3 linked regions of the Arabidopsis thaliana genome follow. The protein of the gene in region 3 interacts with the protein of the main gene of each other region in a pairwise test. Each region holds a gene or a part of one and is shown on either strand. Other genes may lie near its edges.

Region 1 (5,673 bases), about 17 Mb from region 3:
CCAAAGAGCCTTTACATAGAGCACAAAGAAAGAATTGTCAAAAATTCGCTCTAGATCAACTTCATTAACATAAAATAGGAATATACAACTGCAACTGATTTCTAGTTAGACTACTTCGCAAACCGCAGAACAAGGTCATACCTTCTGATTCTTCACCGCTTGACCTTTAACAGCATCTTCACCCTTATCACGCTTCAAGTTCTTCAATATATCCCTATACCAGGAACACGCATATTACACAAAGAACATTCTTTTGCCTCTCAATCGTTCATTTAAAATTAAATGATGCAACCGAATTAAGACAGTATCTGACAAAAACTTTTGGCAAAAGTCTGTTCTTTTCCTTTTAAACGTATATATTTTCTACTAATCACGAATAAATCCAATTGCTATAATGAGTTCGAACCTACTTCTAAATCTAGCCAACATCCTTGCTGATCTAGATTAAACAGTTGAAACTTTAATACGACTATCTACCGTTTCTAGAAAGAAACACATACAAGAATTCACTATCTTAGAAATAACAGTATTTAAAAATGATTAGTTCAAATGAAATCTTACTGCTCTTGTGAACGAAGCTCCTTGACCTCTTTCTCAAGCTCTTCCATCTGAGCATCTTTATTGTCATCATTACCTTCATCGCCACTCTCACTCTCTTTATCATTTCCATCTTCAAAGTCCTCGCTTTCTCCATCCTCGTCTTCCTTGTTCTCTCCTTCATCATCTTCCTCGCTATCTCCTTCATCATCTTCCTCGGTATCTCCTTCATCGTCTTCCTCACTCTCTCCCTCATCATCTTCCATGCTATCTACTTCATCATCCTCTATCCCATCAGGTAATTGATCATCTTCATTGTCGCTTTCGGCCTATAATATAGAGAACCCTCAACCAAATAAATTCACCTATACCATCTAAATAACTTAAACGAGACAAAAGCAACATAAACATACCTTAAGGTTTTCTTGGTCGCTTATGTCTTCCGATTCACTGTCAAGTCTTGCTCTTTTAGACCTCTTTGACCCCCCAGCCATTTTAACAACTTTTAATGCTGCAATCACGAAAAACTAACTCAATTGAGGAAGGAGAAACTATTATACAGTGGATTAAGCAATAAAAATATTGAAACAAATAAAGAAGGACCAAATATAGAGCAACAATGAGGTAACCATACCATCAAACAAGCTTTGTCAAAAGCTTCAAACATAAAAAAAAAAAAAAAAAAAAAAAAAAAAAAAAAAAACAGAGACCTATAGATAATCTCATAAAAACAGCTCACGTGGATCAGTCAAAGGGTCTTTGATCAGTGCAGAATCACGAGGGTAGCTAATTGGTGATAAGGAAGCACAAGGAGACAAATGTATATAGGGAGAATTCTAGATTGACAATCAATGATAGAAAGCAACCCCAAGCCTTTAAAAATCGACCCATCAGATTGCACACACAAATCAGGTTCATTGTTGGAGAGGTTGCGGAGCCACAGATGCCATGGCTCAAGACATGGACAAGGGCCCTCTCCTATAAAGTTCAAAGATTGACTCCTCGTAACTAAATTAAACATCAAAAGCCACACACTTTACTCATAACCTGCTCAGACCTTTTACTTTAACATTCATCATCTCCACCACAATGTCACAAACAGATTACAAAGAACAACATTCTAGAGCTAACACAAGTTTAAAGCAAGAAAACTTTTGAATCAAACTAGTTTATGAGTTCGAATGTTTCAGGAAGAGAAACGATTAAATGAAAAAGGGAGAGACTTTGAGCAGATACGCAAGAGAAAGCAGTGAATTTTGAAAATTAAAAGGAATCATACAAGCAGAGGAGCTTACCTAAAAGCTCTGTAGAAGCTGAGACGCAAATAGGAGAGGTTATATCTTCGACTTGGAATCGCAGAAACTGGGAATCGTCTCAAGCACAAAGCTGTCTACGAGCAGAGGAAAAGTAAAAGTAAGAAGAAGCTCTCAACCAACTCTGGAAATATTAAAACCCTAGAGGTTTCGCTTAACCCATGAACCGGCCGGTTCAACCAAAAATCCGGTTTAAATGTTTTAATTTTGGTTTGATAGGACCAGATTATACGATTCGGTCGGTCGGACCTGGGATTATAAACCCTTGATCCTAATTCCTAAATATGGACCATGAATGATTACATTGTTTTGTATGTTTGGAAAGCTACAAAATTTTGCTTGTTATAAAATTCATCTTTTTGTGCTTAATTGTTTCTTGATCTCTTTAGATGCAACATTTCCGGATTCCACTCTTTTTAACCTATAAAAGTAAATTAGATTCATTCATAATTTCTCCATTAGAAGAAATTTTAGGTAGTACTGAACTATTGTATTAAAGGGCTTTTTGTTAAAGAGGTTCAAGTAGAGAGATTAGTGATGTAGACCACCCACTAGCCATTTTTTGTCTTTTTAAGTTGAGCTTTTATCATTAACACAATTTCAATGTATTATTAGGATTTTCATTCAACGAAAAATACAAAAAGTTCAATTGCTTTCGCCTCTACCGTCTATTTAAAGATAATTGTGACATTTCTTCTTCTCTCTTTGTAATGAAAGATTTTGCTTGAACTTATCCTTGCTCAAAAACAAAAGACTCTTCACTCTTGTTAAAGTGTGAATCTAGTCAACATCTTCATAACTTAAGGAAGTAATCAAAATCATTGCTAATTAATATATTTTGTCGGCAATGAAATTATACTGTAGGATTAACCAAATGTGAATTCCAAGATTTGCATTAATTAAAATTTCTGGTATATTTGACTTTACAATGTGGAAAAAAAAGAGACTAAAATAAAGAAAAGCAGAAACAGAGGAAGAAGAAAAAGTTTTGCAGATCCTGTGATTGTTCTTTACTGTGTGTGTACCTTTGCTCTTCTTTGAAGTGAAAGCTACTTGAGATTATCCTTAAAGAATCAATAATCTCATAAAGTTTTTCACTTTTTTTGTATAAGTAATAATTACATCAACCAACACAAGAGAGTCACAAGATTTCTTGCAAGTTCTTTGATCCTTTGATGTGTATCTTTGTGTTCTCTGTTTCGCTGATTTGGATCTTGATTGAATACTCGTCTTCTCTACCGATATTTTGATCTTCCTCGTTTTTGATGCAGCTCTGGTAAAAGAGGAAGTTGACTATGGTGTCAAGAACCAAGAAGAGAGCGTATAAGTAAGCTATGAAGGTTCCTTCAAGAGCTATGGATATGATATCTCTGTCTCCATTGTAATAAGATCTCATGACTCGGTACTGAAACAAGGCTTCGACTCCTGCTAAGCCGAGATTGGTAGGCAGAGCAAGAGCCATTGCTGTTGAATTTCTTCCGCGAATCAGAAGACACGCCTTGAGGATGTTTGTGTATCCTCCCGAGGAAGAAGAAGGTGATGAAACCAAGGCTAGATTAGAGATGACAAAGGCGTTTGCGATGATAATTGAGTAGATGATTGCTGAGGATAGGGAGAGGAAAGTGTAGAAGTTTCTTGAAGAGAATCCAAAGGCTTCAAGGGTATTGTATGCTAAGAAAAACAGAGCAAAAGCAGAGGCGTTTGCAGAGAGAAGGAAGAAGAAGTTGCAAACGTAAGTTTTGAGAAGCCGGAGGTAGAAAACAGAGGAGGAATCTGCAGAGTGATTGTTTGATAGAAGTTTGATGACGTAAGCTTTGGATAAAAGGAGGAATGTGAGGGAGAAAGGAAGAGTGAATAAAGAGGAAGATAGGGTTTGTGAGAGTTTAAGGCTTAAGATGTTGAAGAAGTCATGAGAAGAAGAGAAACCCGCTCCGCGGAAGAGCATGTTAAGCCTCATGTGAAGGGTGGAAGAGGAAGAAGAGAAGAAAGGCTGAGAGAGGAGGAGACCGGCGGAGAAAGGGAGGGCCACGGCGGCTGCGGTGGTGACACGGTGGTAGTTTTGGAGGAAAGTGTGAATTGACCTTCTCATGATCTTGCTTGGATCCTCCATTGTCTTCTTCATTCTAGTTTTTGCTATTTTCTTTTCTTTGGAGAAGTTTGAATATGTGTGTTTCTTGAATGATCCACCAAATCTTGAAAGGGTTTTCTCAATGCAGGTCATCTATATATATGTATATAAAATATGTAATGATTTTTATATTATTTATATATTTTTTTGCTAAAATTTAATTGTGGGTTGGGTGTTAGAGAAGAGAATGGAGATAGGCCAACCGATTTTGCCTGAAGATGAGGAGTTGTTTAGACAAACTAATCAAATTAAAACTCTTCTTTTTCTTTGTGAAGCAAAGTTTTTTGCATGGAATAGAATCTTTCGTGTGAGTAAAATAATACATAACACCTCCTTGTTAGGTTTTATTGGGTATAATATAGATTTGCTTCGTAGGTAATGTTGTTAGGATAAATGAATTTCCTTTTCGTGATTTAATTTTTATACATATATTCTAGAAAAGTCTTTTACTTGTGTGATATGCTTAGTGATTTAATTGGTTTTGGATGCTTACTATACACTCCATTGTATATATATATATGTGTGTTTGTGTATATATATATATATTAAATTGTGACAGAGTGAGTCATGTATTAGTATTCAATTGAAAGCTTAATAATGATAGGTTTGAGGAAACTGGAGGCTTAGCTTTCAAGAAATTGAATAATGATAAGAGCTCAAAAGAGTAAAGTTTTTAATAACCAAATTTATATTGGTAAAAATGGTACTCTTGTTATGCTTTTGATCATAATGTAAACAACAAAAATGATTTTTGAGTGAGAAAATTCCAAACTCTATTAACTTTTCTTGAGGCGACTTGATCATATATATGCTTACCAAACCTACTAAGTTTAGCTTTAATGAAAAATAAGAATGTTTAAAAAAAAACTCTATCCTAGAACACTTGAATACTTATTAATTACCAATTGTGTTCTTGTACCAATACAATAATATGTTAACCAAGTTAATAATTTATTTTAAAATAATCAAGAGAAAATGGAAATTAGATAGAAGAAATCATCAAACTTTGTCCAACCTGTGGCATGCATTTGGTGTGCAGTCTTATTGACTTGGACTTGGTGGTTAGGGAGTTCTCCATTTCCTTGTTTGAAATTTCTGATTTTCTTATATATAGAAATATATCCACTCGCAATAATATACTTTAATTAATGGCATATGGTAATAGTTTAAGCGTGAACCATTATTATTGAGTTTCCATTAGACGAACAAAATCAACGAGAAAATACACCTGGAAATTTGCAATTTTATTTTCATATCTATTTTTAGTTGAATGGTTTAACGTTTACCAGGTAACACATCTTCTTGTTTTATATAAATCTACATATAGTCCATGGAGAAATAAATCTAGAAAAAGCTTGCTAAAATCTTAAATGGAATAATCTTAATAGTTATAGGTATAAAGTCTACTTGTAATTAGGTATTAGTCTACTAATAATTGGAGTTATAACCATTTTATAAAGTGAGCTATAATGTTTGATTCTAAGCTACTCCAACAAAAAGGAACTCGACCGTACATATGTGTAAAAGCAAGAACATAGACTCAAAACATTTTTTATATGTGATATCTACTGAAGGTCTCTTACGAATATTCATTCTATTTTCTTTAGTTTATACAAAGATTATGTAATGTTAGAGAAAAGTATATGTCCATCAATAATAATTGATATTTTGGCGTCGACCATGACTGTTGAACGT
Region 2 (5,691 bases), on a different chromosome or scaffold from region 3:
TCAATTTATGAAGAAACACCAATCCTATAGTATGTAGTCTTTATGTATATAGTGAATTTATGTTACAGGAGATGGATTGAAAAATATAATAGTAGGGTGATGGAGTTGCATGAGATGGAGAACTGGTTAGGAGGACATCAAACCTAGCGTGTGTCACAAACCGAAAGTATTTGAACTGATGTAATCGTTGTTTGTGTTTATTGTGTTGAACGAGTCTTTGTTTCAGTTGTGTCAATAATGTGTGTCTTCATTGGGTTAAGGAGCCAGCTTTTTAACTTTCTCATTCCTGGTTTATAGGAGTTACAACTCCCTCTCTTTGTACATTCTATTCAAGATAGTGAAAAAGCCAAAAAGAGGCAATTTTAATTGCCCAAAGAAAAGTTACTCTCTATTTTGTGCGATGTAATTTATGCTGTATGATTTCTTACTCCCTAAAGTGATATTTCTTTGTACCAACGGAGATCTTTTTACCGTTTACAATAATCATTAACTTCCATAACACAATTTGAGAAGGTAGTAATCGAAATGTTTTGGGTTCAAACTCAAGAGCCGGAGATAGTACTACAAAACGATATCCAAAAGGAAACAAAGCAAACAATCTATCGTTATGAAACATAAAGACCTAATGTGAGATAAGCTCTTGAAGTTAGATATAAGAAGAATAAAAACTTTCAAGGAATGTATGCAATGAATGTTTTTAATGATTTTATCCCCTTGTTTTCATTATCTTGATGCATTAACACACCATTTAGACTTCTTCAAGATAGCCTTTGCATTGAGTTCATCCATTTTAGGTGTTGGAGTGAGAACCATAAAGAAGAGAGGTTTTAGAGGATATTTGGTTCTTAAAAGACCAAACAATGACGGAATATGAAGGAAAGAACAAGAGAGATGATATGATATTATCCATAATCAATATGAAGTACTTGAAAGATCACGTCATATGAAGACTTTCCTTTGTGATATTGTTTTCGAGCCCTTCATCAAAGTCATAGGAAATTGAATTGGCTGTTCCAACGGTGGTGATTTCGGATCAAACGGAATAGCGGATCAAAAGTAATAGCCAAAATTAAAAATAGGCTCTCGGACATGACAAAACAATCAGGCATAAACGAACATGAGGAGATGATAATACGTTTTTTTATTCATCAGCAGCATTCATTTTGTCAAACAAAAAAATAAATAATACAAAACACGTTATATTATACAATAATCATCTCATGTTCCTTAATCAAACCAAATAACATACAAAATAACATTGCGAAACATATTGTATTGTTATATAGAATGATGCTGATGAATATAAAAAATGTATTACAAGACGTGGTTAAGATGATGTCCACTTTGTAGCCAAAACCAAACAAAATTGACATTAAAAATTATAGTAATACGAACTGTATTGTATTTAAATTATTATTTAATAATGGCTACAAGTTGGCTGTTGGTTAAGTCAAGGAAAAATAACAGCTAATTGTTCATATTATAAAACAAAATTGAACACAAAACACACAGTATTATATTATATATAGTACCAATTAGCTAGCAAGACTCTGAAAAACCAAACGAATCTGAAAAGATCATAACAAAACTCAAAAGATTCTTCTCCAACCACGTATTTCATCAAGGAAACATGAAGATAGGAGTGGTTTTAGTGTTGCTTACAGTTTTCGTGGTTGTGATGTCTTCTACAAGCGTCTCTGCTCAGTCGGACGAGGACGAGTGCTTGAAAGAGACAGGGCAGATGCAGTTGAATTGTTTCCCCTACCTAACTGATAATCGTATCCATACTCCTAGTTTCGCGTGTTGTTCTGAGGTGTATACAGTAGGCAAGACATATGTTGACTGCTTTTGTCAATTCATCAACAATGGAGGCCCTAGCTTCGGTATCGTTGTTTCCCAAAAACTTCTTGATCTGCCAGAGCTTTGTGGCGTTTATGGTGCCTGTGGCAACGGTAAGAATTTCAAAAACACTAGTTTATGAATAAACACCAATCTTCACTCTTCGCGAATTTATGTTATGTCCATGAAATTGATTGAAAAATCTGTGTACCAGTTGGTGATGGCGTTGTCCGTAACCGAAAGTATTTGAATTGATAGAGTCTTTGTTTCAGTTGAGTCAATAACGAAAGACATGGTCTTCCTTTCCTTGTGTTAAATTAAGGAGCCAGCTTTGCCACTTTCCCATTCCTGGTTTGTAGGAGTTACAACTCCATCTCTTTGTACATTCTATTTAAGATTATTAAAAAGCCACAAAAAGGCAATCTTAATTGTCTAAAGAAAAGCCACAAATCCAAATCTGAGACATGGGAAGGAGATGGTAAACTAAATGTTTCGGGTTCAAACTCAAGAGCCATAGATATAGTATGCACAAAACAGATATCCAAAAGGAAACAAATAACTTATGTCAACTTTATAAAATCCTATATTATAAAAAGAATTTTATCATTTTATGGGACAAAGCAATAATCTATCGTTATGAAACATTGAGACCTAATGTGAGATAAGCTCTTGACGTTAGTAGATATAAGAAGCACAAAATTTCAACGAATGCATGCAAAATGAAAAGTAATGTGTTGTGTTTTTAATGATTTACCTCCTTGTTTTCATTTAACTTGATGCATTAACATACCATTTAGACTTGTTTCGGCTACCTGACTAAATATAGCTCATACCTTTGTTGACTGTTTTGTCAATTCCTCAAGAGTGGAGGTTCTAATCTCGGTATCATCAATGTTAACCAAACACAAGTTCTTCGTCTGCCAGTAATTTGTTTTGGTACGGTGACACTTTTCTTGTCATTCAGTGTAATAACGGTATGAAGAAAGATCATCCTAGTACCGTAGTACGTAGTCTTTATGTTATCTGATGCATCCATAATATATCGTGAATTTATGTTACAGGAAATTGATTGAAAAATGTACCAGTAAGGTGATGGAGTTGCAGGAGATGCATAACGGGTTTAGGAGGACATCTAACCGAGCGTGTGTCACAATATATTGTGTTGAACGAGTCTTTGTTTCAGTTGTGTCAATAATGTGGTCTTCATTGTGTTAAGGAGCCAGCTTTCTCACTTTCTCATTCCTGGTATATAGGAGTTACACTCCATCCCTTTCTACATTTGAAAAAGCCTATAAGAGGTAATCAAAATTCAAAAGCGTTACTCTCTGTTATAATTTGGATTTAAGTTCTAAATCTGAGACCCATCATTAACCGATAAGAATAGGCCCAAATCATTAATGGGCCTTTCAATCCTAATAGAATCATCACTTCCAAATATTTACATTTGTTGCATTTTTTGTGTATATTATTAGATTATAGTAAGAGATTTATAAAACTAACAAAATTTTACATGATCATGGAATCACCAAGAATCTTCCTCCGGCCGTTCAATCTCTCCGATGCAGAAGACGTCTTTAAATGGGCCGGTGACGATGACGTCACACGTTACCTCCGTTGGGACTCCGTTAACTCCTTAGAAGAAGCTAAACAACACATCTTAAACAAGGCTATACCACACCCATGGCGCCGTTCCATCTCTCTCCTCCAAGACGGTCATTCGATTGGTTACGTATCCGTCAAGCCAGACTCCGGTGATGGTCGGTGCCGAGCCGACCTCGCATACGCTGTCGCTAAAGAGTTTTGGGGGCGGGGGATAGCCACAGCGGCGGTGAGGATGGCGGTTGAACAAGCTTTGGAGGATTTTCCGGAGGTGGTGAGGCTACAAGCGGTGGTGGAGGTGGAGAACAAAGCGTCCCAAAGGGTTTTGGAGAAAGCTGGATTTCGAAAAGAGGGTTTACTTGAGAAGTATGGTTTTAGCAAAGGAGTCATCAGAGACATGTTTCTCTATAGTTACGTTAAAGATGATTGTTTTGTGTGATAGTTAACGGTAAAAATAATGGAGAAAGTAACTAAATAATATCCGGTTTTTACCGTAATCTGAAATGTTACAATATCAAACGTACGTTAGGTTTGAAGAGATAAAGATGATTACGGCAACAAATGATGGTTGTCTACATGTTCTTGTCATGTCATAATTAAGTTTAAGTCGTGTCGTGTGTCTACGGTGACTCAACCACATATCTTTCTTTCTCTGAATTCTGTCTTGTTCGTGAAAATAATCTCTATAGTAGTAATCTTAACGTCATGAATTGGATAATGATATTGACGAAAATTTATATATGAATGTGAAATGTTAATGGCAAATATATCCATTCTTTTACAAGCTACGGTAATTAGTTTATTTTTTGATTTAAGATACTCCCGTTATTTCAAAAAAAAAAAAAAAAAAAAGAGAGAGAGAAAAAATTCTTCTTTGTCGCATAGATTTCACAAGTTGAAATTGAACGGTCAGATTTTTGAAAAATCAGAACTTGTAAACCACTAAAACAAGAATACTTATGTGTTAGGAATAGATAATAATAGTGGCATGGCGCCAGCAATTACAGAACAGAAAATATTCGGCACTATATAAGTCGGATGAATCATACACTATACATGAAAACAATTAATATTTGGAACATAAAAGTCGGTCCATATATTTAATTATTCAGGAAGTAATGCGAAAAAAAAGTGTGTGAATGAAAGTCTTTGAGAAAGTATCAAGTAGCACGCATGCATCTTGAACAGAAGTCATGCATAGTGTCGTCAAAATCAAATTGATATATGTTTTACAATTCTTGTCCTATCAAATCTTAAATGTGTCAACCTCATATTCAACCACCTCTATGCTTATTTTATTATACAACTTTGATCTTACATATGACATCCTTAAGTATCGACAAGTGATAGTTTCTTGCGAGATTAATATCTGTATTCTTAGTTTGCATAAGTCGTTATAGATTGGTTGCTAAATACCTACGGTTTCTTTTCTTAAAATTATTAGTCAGTATATAAGTAAGATATCGAAACACATATATTTGTAACAAACGCACTTGTTTTTTCTTTAATTCCAACAATTTCAATAAAAAAAACCAAGCAACACAACCTCTTAATCAACGAGTTATTCCAAAACCTAAATTGCAAATTGTATTCATCGTGTGGTCACGCCTATTCCATAACCATTATTACCTCTCTTATTTTGTTTTAGTTCACTTATTATCTTTTTACTTTCTGTGTAAAAGATAGATGATGCGACAGGAAGCAGTGAATGCTGATGTGAGCTTATATGGTCCCTACTTACTACACGTGGAGCCAACTCTTAGTAACTCAGAGGGTTATATTGCGGGACCTTTCTCTGACAGCAACAGAGAGATTAGATTCTGATCTCATGGACGGTCACGATGATATGATGGATTGTGTTCACGAGCCATGACACGACTCATGATGCTTCATCAGTTCTCCACTATGAGTGACTTCACACTATTATAGTTAAATTGATGATTATCAAGTTTGCAAACAAACACTGCTTAAACCTATTCTTGATTTCTTGTCCCCGAACTGTGATTGGTTATTGAATAATTTATTAATTTTGTTCCATTAAGTTGTATAATGGAAAACAGTCACAGCACACACATATATGCAAGTAACAGTTATCAATTCCATAAAGATAATGGAAACTTTTTGCCAAATCCGGAAATGTTTATACTTTAAAAATTATAAATTTTAGTCATGGTTTCAAAAAAGATGATGGAACCACTGAAAACCCTTGTCAAAATAAGATCGCAACTTTAATTAGTAACACAATTTGATGTG
Region 3 (8,278 bases):
TTGACTTTTAGAATGCCAAATAGTAAAATGGAAGAATAATAAATGAGTATGTGAAAATTCATGGGAGATTTGGTTTTGTTTGACTTAGAACAAATATGGAGTTGTGGTTGGTGTCTAATAAGAGATTTATTTAGGCTCTGACTAGTGATGAAATCATGGAAAGAATATGACATAAGATTGCTTTTGTCATCTTAGACTTTCGTTAGCCTCATCAGTCAAAGTAAAAATCTAACTACACACAACCAAAGTTTGACTATACCAAGACATCGACAATGATAGAATCAATCAACCATAACTAAAGATATTACAAGTACCCTAATTCTCAACTTTTATTACAAGTACTTAAATATCTCAATCTTACACGTGAATAAAGTAAATCATCCTTCTAATCAAAACATCAGCAAGGTTTTTAACACAACAAAAGTAAATTACAACAGTTTTTACGTACCATTTGGGTTATTTATTAGAATTGATGTAACCGGAGGAAATACTAGTCTTCCACGATGTGTTTCCTCTCGAGCTCAATGAACTGTTTGTTATTATGGGAGGTTTCAGTGGCGTTTCGTGTCTCGTTCTCTCCTTTGCATCGCTGTAACTGCATTTGAAGACTTCGTACAAGGTCGTTTAGCCTCTGGATATGTCTCTCTTGTGACAAGATGATCTGTAACGATTAACAAACTAAGAATTGACAGGTCTTCTTCTATTTTCAGGTTCAAAATTATGCTGAAGTTATGAGGTTCGTCATACATCCAATGGAACTTTAAGGTTGCAAGACCAATAAGTCTATGTTTCTCCACTAACCTCATCTATTTGATGCAATCAGGGAAAACACAACAGAAGGCAAAAAAACCCCGAATATTTCTATGCAACATTAAAAACTCAGATCAGTCATTGATGGATTCCATAGACATTCTCAAAAAGAAGAAGATAGAGATATGAAAGCCAGTTACAAAGAATGTTTGTCCAGAGACTCATGAGACTAGAATGTCGAGGATAAAGTCAACAACACAACTACTAAGGCATAGTTATAGATTGACTCAAAAGGCAAGTGAAGCAGATATAGGAATCTTAAGCATCAGAGCATTCTAAGTTAACTGACACTATCCAATTATGCATATCTCTGCTACAGTTGTACTAATCTATAAGTCACAATCCCAAAACGAATTCTCAGGTCTTTCTCATACAACTGAACACACAAAACTTCAATGAAAAAGAGTTTAAGAATGAAGTAAGTACCTTCTCCTTGACAGCTTCTTCCCTCTTTGCAATTTGCTGATGTTTCTGAGACAAGCTAGGAGCTGCATCAAGCTCAAGAAGTGGTTGCCTCCATTCAAACTGAGAAGTGACTATAAGTATAACCAGAAGAAAGACTAGCATGATCGGCCTCGACATTTTCTATTCAGCTCTTACAAAACCTGTTCCAAATTTCACAATCAATCCATTTCATACCATCCTAAACACACATCCAAAGACCACGCCTAATCGAATTGAGACATATATCGAAAATGAGATCGATGCGACTTAAAATTCACCTACTCACTTCAAATTTTCTAATTAAAAACCAAAAGTAGAACAATGTAAACAGTGTAAGCTGATACTATAAAAAGCAACTCCATCAAATCAATGACCTAGGGTTTCAATACGAATCTCCTTCATATGTAACTAACTTACTAAGGATAAGCAAATAACACATACTACAGAAAAACTGAATTTCCTCAGCACAACAAAGCAAAATTGAAGCATCGTAGAAGATATAACGAAGACGATTAAGTATCTCCAACTTACAGATCGATTTATCACAGTGAAATCAAACTTCATTATCGAATCATCAGCTTTTCTAGGGTTTCTTAAACCGGAAAAATTGACGAAACTGATCGAGATCAATAAAATCGGCTTGACGGAGTATTGAGGAAACTTGACTTCTCCAAAATGGGTTCTCGTATAGAAGAAGAGAGAAAGAAACAAAAGCAGAGGTTTAATGGCGGCGAGAAAATTCTACAAATCTTAGTGCAACAACCATCTGGACGAGAAAGATAAACAGTACGGATTTGGAAAATAGTCATTTACTAATTTGCCCCCATCATTTATCCATTCTCTGATTCTCATTAAACACACCACTTAATAAGCCTTGAAGTGTAAAAACTATATCCACTAGTTCTTCTGTGCTTGATATTTCAGGTTTTGATTTGGTTGCACAGATTTGAAGTAGAAGTGTAAAACATAAACCGTTTACACAAAAACATCATATAATCCTTGTCAATGTCCGAGAAAAGATGATACAAACATAGCTAGGACACTGTTTTTCGCTACTTCCATAAGCCTCTTATTCTAGATAAAACAACATTGCTATCAGAGCCACTACACCTATAATAACATCCCATCGTGCCTTGTTCACTGATTTGATCGAGTATAAACCCACGAAGCAGCTCGACAATGATTCCGTGGCGTCTTTTCCTTTCTTCTTCTGTGATGGTCTTTCCTCTAACAGTGATGACATTTGTTTGTCTATCATGTTTGGTAAAGGAAGTACCCTTATCTCCATTGATGCTGATTCTAGTGTTGGCACTTCGTTTGGTGTGTTCCCTGTCATCACCGCTTCATCGAGATTGATGATTTCGTCTCTTAGGATATCCGCAAAGAAATCCTCGTCATTATCCACCTAAACCACACACACATAACATTCATTAAGAAGAACGACAACAATCAAGAACCATCATACAACAATTAGAAGCCAGGTGACAAAACCTGTAGATTTTCTGATGACTCTGCCATCTCAGCGAGTAGTTTCTCCCCTGATTCACCTGCTAGGTAAAAATCAACCAAGTTGTCCCAATCAGACGGGCTCCCTGAACTCGTAGCGCCATTTTGGACTTTCGCATGCTTCTCGGCTGATGAATTTGGCTTTGGTGCCTTCTGACTTGTACCACTATTGTATTCTTTGTTCCTCCTAACCCGGCAAACAACCATAGCATCATCCTAGAATTTACATAAACATAATCAATCAACTCAAGCCAAAGACAAAACTCCTAAAATTTTACTGTATTCCTCTTAGAGACTCAAAAAGTAGCCAAAGTCACCACCTCTTATGTAATGGTTAACAATTAATCTATAAGAAAAAACAAACTCTCGAGAACAGTTTTACCAGAGATACTCCTTTCACGCAGTACTCGTGCATAATCCAGTCAGTTCTTTCGCCTTTTGGTGCACGACCAATATGGAAAACAAGCGTCCTCTTTGTTCCAATGACCTCAGAACCAGACTTCACATCACGCTCTTTCCCAGTTGCTTTCCAGTATCCCATCTTCGTTGCTCTCCTGTTCTGTGAACCATGTGGATACTTTTTCCCACGCGCACAGAAGAAGAACCACTCGCTATCAGATTTCACAATCGACTTATCTGCAAAGAACAAACACACAAAAAAAATTGTCAATTCCAATCCAAGAGCCAAAAAATAGAAACTTTATATCTTAGGCACCCAAAATAGAGATCTCTCCTGAAGCCTGAAGAACAACAAAATCAAATTCCAAGTAGAAGAAAGACACAAAAGAATCAATTGGTTCGAATTCGAAGACAAACCGGGTAAATCCCAAGGCTCGAAATTGTAAATCTCAAGGTCCGGTATAACCTCAACGGACCTCTCCAAGCCATCCATCTTCCGCTTCAGGTAATACGAAATCAACTCCACATCCGTCGGCGAGAATTTAAACCCAGGAAACACCGTCGACGCTTCCATCGACGCCGCCGTATCCTTAGAAACTCCAACCGCCTTCGTGTCCATGAAGGCTCGCGCGTATACAACAGTCGCCACAAAAAGAGCGCGTAAGAAATCGGCCACCGCCCAAAGAGTAAAATCCGGGAATTTTCGATAACCTGAAGGATTTTTCTTCTCAGTGTGGTCTCTTCTCACTTGCTCAGGGAGCTTTTGAATTGTTATTGGAACACTTCACAGGTGCACACATATGGGTTTTTGCATACGTGTTGCCAAGGCATTGCTTAATCTACGTGTGCATGCCACGTCACTAAACCTAGTTATATTATAGGTTTTATTTCATTTAGACCCTTAATGTTTTTACGTACTCCCAATTTACGACTTATTGTTTAGTGTTTTCAGATAAAGTCCCAATATATATCCGAAATCTTACTATCGATCAATCGCTCACAATTATATATCCCAAAATATCTTGTTCAGGATCTCGTAATCAACAAGCGTTACCTCAAAGTTTTTGTTGATTTGAAGCTTAAGGGTTAACCACTTATCATTACAAGAAAACTTATCCTTCTTGATGGATTTCAACTGCTCCACAAGACTTTCCATATAGTTAAGTTTAATCAAAAACTCATGTTCAAAAAAGCTAAACAAGAAAGGTGAATTTTCGCAAATCTCCCTCCGTAAAACCTCGTACGTCTTCGAAATAGTATTAGTAGTAAAATCTGTGGACTATGTTTCTGTGTCAAGGTACGACAGGGAAAACGAAATGTATGAGTGAACTTTATTGTTGTTTCCATGATGAAATGGGGTTACAAATTACGATCAAATTATACTCAAATCATTATTTGTAAAAAAACTAAAGTGATATTAACGTGGTTAACTCTGTTCTGTTAATTTTTTTGGTGATGTGAATCCAAAAATTACTTTGAAAGTTTCTCGTACAATTAAAAGTTTAAAGTTGATGATGAACGGAAACTATAAACAATCATAACAAGAAATTCTCCAAATTATTTCAGCAACAAATTTATATTTTGTCAAGATCAACAATGATCGATAACGATAATATGATTTAAGAGTTTTTTCATACCAAAACTCTTTAGAATTAAAAATCCTCCTTTCATAGGCCTTTGAACTAAAAAATAGAACTCTTCAACAATATTTTAGTCAAAAGCTAATGATACGTGAAAGAGTTCGATACCTTTTATAACACCATCCAAGGATATAGATCAAGTCTAAAACTAAGAAAAGAGATAAACATCTAATCTTCTAATCCTCATACCTTCGAAAAGTAAACAATAATTAATATTGAATGCTAACAAGTAACAACCAAAATATATAAACAAACGCTTTGTTTGGTTTTTAAGGTTGGTTTGTTATCGAGGGGGTATTTTATCTTTTGAATTTTGTAAAAAATCTATAAATATAGGTGATGATTTTAGAAAAAAATGAGGATTTTTTTACACATTTTGGCATTTCCCCCTACAGTTAAAAAGAGAGTAAAAATCAAAATATATATCATGTGTTGTACAAGTAAACACCTACCAACCAAGCCCATCAAGAAGATACTACTACTAGAATCACTCATTTCCTCTATATATCTTATTGGTGACAAACTGACCAGTCACCAATAAATGTCTCTAGTCACGGCGGCTCCTCCGGTCAACATCGATCAAATCTTTCCCGTGGTTGACGTATACACTTGCGATTCTTCCTCCATCGTACAATATGCATGCATATAAATACCAATATAGGTGATGGTTATTGTAAATGTTTTTAGAGAAAATGAGGATTTTTTAAACCCATTTTTCCCTTCACTAAAAAAGAATCGACACACAAAAAGAGAGAGTTTATAAAATACACGATAATATCAAAGTTAAACACACACCAACCAAGTAAACAAGATACAACACAATTGGAATCTTTCTTCTTTGACAAAAAAAAAAGGAATCTCTCTCTTTCTCTGATTCTCTCATGTCCATGCAACAAGAAACGTCTCACATGACGGCGGCTCCACAGACCAACGGCCATCAAATCTTCCCTGAGATTGACATGTCCGCCGGCGATTCCTCCTCCATCGTACGAGCTACAGTCGTCCAAGCCTCTACAGTCTTCTACGATACTCCCGCCACGCTAGGTTCGTTCCTGTTTTCTCGATTTTTGATTCACTATGGTTGGTGAGATCGCTTTCGATGCCTTATCCACGAAATTTTGTCAGATAAGGCAGAGAGACTGCTTTCTGAGGCAGCGGAGAATGGATCTCAGCTAGTGGTGTTCCCGGAGGCTTTCATCGGTGGATATCCACGTGGCTCTACCTTTGAATTGGCTATTGGTTCTCGTACCGCTAAAGGACGAGATGACTTTCGCAAGTACCATGCTTCTGCCATTGATGTTCCTGGTAATAAAGTCCTCCACCATATCTCCGATTATGTTCTCACTTTTTTTCTTTCGATTTTGGATCTTAGCATGAATACCAGGGCACGCACTTATTACCACATAAATCCATTGTTCTCTAACTAGCTACCAACATAGAACAACTAGGCAACCCTCTTTTATATTCACTTAGGTCGCGTGTTCGATTCACGTTCACTGCACCATTTGATAAGTTTGAAGCTATGAACTCTTATCTTTTATCACTTCTCATTCCAAGATACAAACTCAAGAACTACCCTAACAATGGAGATTTTTTCAAGAGATCTCCTAACTCTCCTCCATAAAACCATACGTTTGTTAAAAACACATCAATACATGCATAACTTCATCAATTCTCTTGACAAGAGGTTACAAAATCTGTTTCTTCTTGCTCTGTTTTAACTCCTTTTCACATGACTTCTATGCTTCTCTTTGCTTATTCACGTGTCTCATAACCTCCTTTTCAGCTACCACACGTATCTCCTAGCTTATCACACTTAAGATCTAATAAATTCTCACCAAAGCCGTCTTTAAAACAGCTTCTGTTCTACTACGACACTGTAACAGAAACTGCAACAAACAACCAAGGTGGTTCTTGTTTTTTTTTGGTATCAAGGTGGTTCTTGTTGCTTTGAGGGAGATGCCTCTTCCTTCTTACATGAGAGCTTGTAGCATCACCAAGATCTGACCAGTTCATCAAGAGACGTAGCTTGGTTGCTCCACCCGTGACTCCACAACAAGCTTCATTCAAGGGAGGCACAGATGCTCCAAGAGTAAGAAGTTGTAGATAAGATCATTTCAGCAACAGTCACATGGGCTTAACTTATGAAAGGCCCAGTGACTTGGGCTTTCACATGGGTCAATCTCATAGCCAATAAACCCAACAATTGTTAGTGTGATCATCTACTAACAATTGAGTGTTTCAGTCTCTACTAGTTATAGTGTTTCTTGAATCACCAAGTGTGTGTAAACTGTAAATTACATTCTACTTATTCATCTGTGCCATCTTGTGTTAGGCCCTGAAGTGGAACGATTAGCGTTAATGGCCAAGAAGTACAAAGTATACTTGGTTATGGGTGTGATAGAGAGGGAAGGCTACACGCTATACTGCACCGTTCTTTTCTTCGATTCACAAGGTCTGTTCTTAGGTAAGCACCGCAAACTCATGCCTACAGCTCTTGAACGTTGCATTTGGGGATTTGGAGATGGATCAACCATCCCTGTGTTCGATACTCCTATTGGGAAAATCGGTGCTGCTATTTGTTGGGAAAATAGGATGCCTTCTTTGAGAACCGCAATGTATGCCAAAGGTTAGTCTCTCTTTAGCTTCTACAAAGGGACAATGTATCAGTATGTTGCTTGTGATTTGATCATGTTGGTGTGTTACACTGTTGTGTTTTTTTTTGTAGGCATTGAGATTTATTGTGCACCTACTGCTGATTCAAGAGAAACTTGGCTAGCATCAATGACTCATATTGCACTTGAGGGTGGATGTTTTGTTTTGTCAGCTAACCAGTTTTGTCGTCGGAAAGACTATCCTTCTCCGCCGGAATACATGTTTTCCGGTTCAGAAGAGAGCCTAACACCGGACTCTGTTGTCTGCGCTGGTGGAAGCTCTATCATTTCACCTTTGGGAATTGTTTTAGCTGGACCAAACTATAGAGGAGAAGCTCTTATCACAGCTGATCTAGGTATATTATTAATTAACATTTGTTAATCATCATCATTCATTCTTGAACAAAAAGTTAACTAATCATATCCTATAAATCTCTAACAGATCTTGGGGACATAGCACGAGCCAAGTTTGATTTTGATGTGGTCGGACATTACTCGAGGCCTGAAGTGTTTAGCTTGAACATAAGGGAGCATCCGAGAAAAGCGGTCAGCTTCAAGACGTCAAAGGTAATGGAAGATGAATCCGTCTAACAAATGATCATTTGTTAGACCCAAACTTTCTCTGTAATTTGATGAAGTTTATCTGTAGTAAACTTCAAGACTTGTGTTGTAATTGAAATCGATAAAAAATCTAAACCGTTAGATTGAGTGTTGTCTTCTATTCCTCGTTTATACTATGCTTGGTTCTGCTCGTTCCATGTTCTTCAAATTTGTACATGAAACTAGTGATTCAATAACTTGTTAGGGATTAAGATGAGTCATTTT

Evidence for each region. The genes of interacting proteins can lie anywhere in the genome.
Region 1: the proteins of NAC089 (region 3) and AT5G61340 interact in a two-hybrid assay, tested with the Arabidopsis thaliana proteins (one large-scale study listed by BioGRID).
Region 2: the proteins of NAC089 (region 3) and AT3G22570 interact in a two-hybrid assay, tested with the Arabidopsis thaliana proteins (one large-scale study listed by BioGRID).

What each region holds. Positions count from the first base shown.
Region 1 is NC_003076.8:24,659,073-24,664,745, forward strand, and holds AT5G61340 (uncharacterized protein), read right to left. Parts: upstream 4,146-5,673; 5' UTR 4,072-4,145; coding exon 2,992-4,071; 3' UTR 2,607-2,991; downstream 1-2,606. Other genes in the region: AT5G61330 (rRNA processing protein-like protein), read right to left, coding at 1-9, 142-214, 562-866, 951-1,048, 1,248-1,263.
Region 2 is NC_003074.8:7,997,101-8,002,791, reverse strand, and holds AT3G22570 (Bifunctional inhibitor/lipid-transfer protein/seed storage 2S albumin superfamily protein), read left to right. Parts: upstream 1-1,553; 5' UTR 1,554-1,630; coding exon 1,631-1,952; intron 1,953-2,050; exon of another isoform or gene 2,051-2,689; coding exon of another isoform or gene 2,690-2,702; coding exon 2,703-2,716; coding exon of another isoform or gene 2,717-2,875; exon of another isoform or gene 2,876-2,900; coding exon of another isoform or gene 2,901-2,908; 3' UTR 2,909-3,085; downstream 3,086-5,691. Other genes in the region: AT3G22580 (Bifunctional inhibitor/lipid-transfer protein/seed storage 2S albumin superfamily protein), read left to right, coding at 1-30; AT3G22565 (uncharacterized protein), read right to left, coding at 2,690-2,875; AT3G22560 (Acyl-CoA N-acyltransferases (NAT) superfamily protein), read left to right, coding at 3,350-3,877. UniProt on the Arabidopsis thaliana protein: Probable lipid transfer protein.
Region 3 is NC_003076.8:7,373,721-7,381,998, forward strand, and holds NAC089 (NAC domain containing protein 89), read right to left. Parts: upstream 4,057-8,278; 5' UTR 3,779-4,056; coding exon 3,577-3,778; exon of another isoform or gene 3,397-3,576; coding exon 3,143-3,396; intron 2,977-3,142; coding exon 2,746-2,976; intron 2,660-2,745; coding exon 2,324-2,659; 3' UTR 2,119-2,323; downstream 1-2,118. Other genes in the region: AT5G22280 (peptidyl-prolyl cis-trans isomerase G), read right to left, coding at 552-806, 1,237-1,392; NIT4 (nitrilase 4), read left to right, coding at 5,681-5,843, 5,925-6,104, 7,135-7,428, 7,528-7,809, 7,896-8,044. UniProt on the Arabidopsis thaliana protein: Transcription factor involved in plant cell division.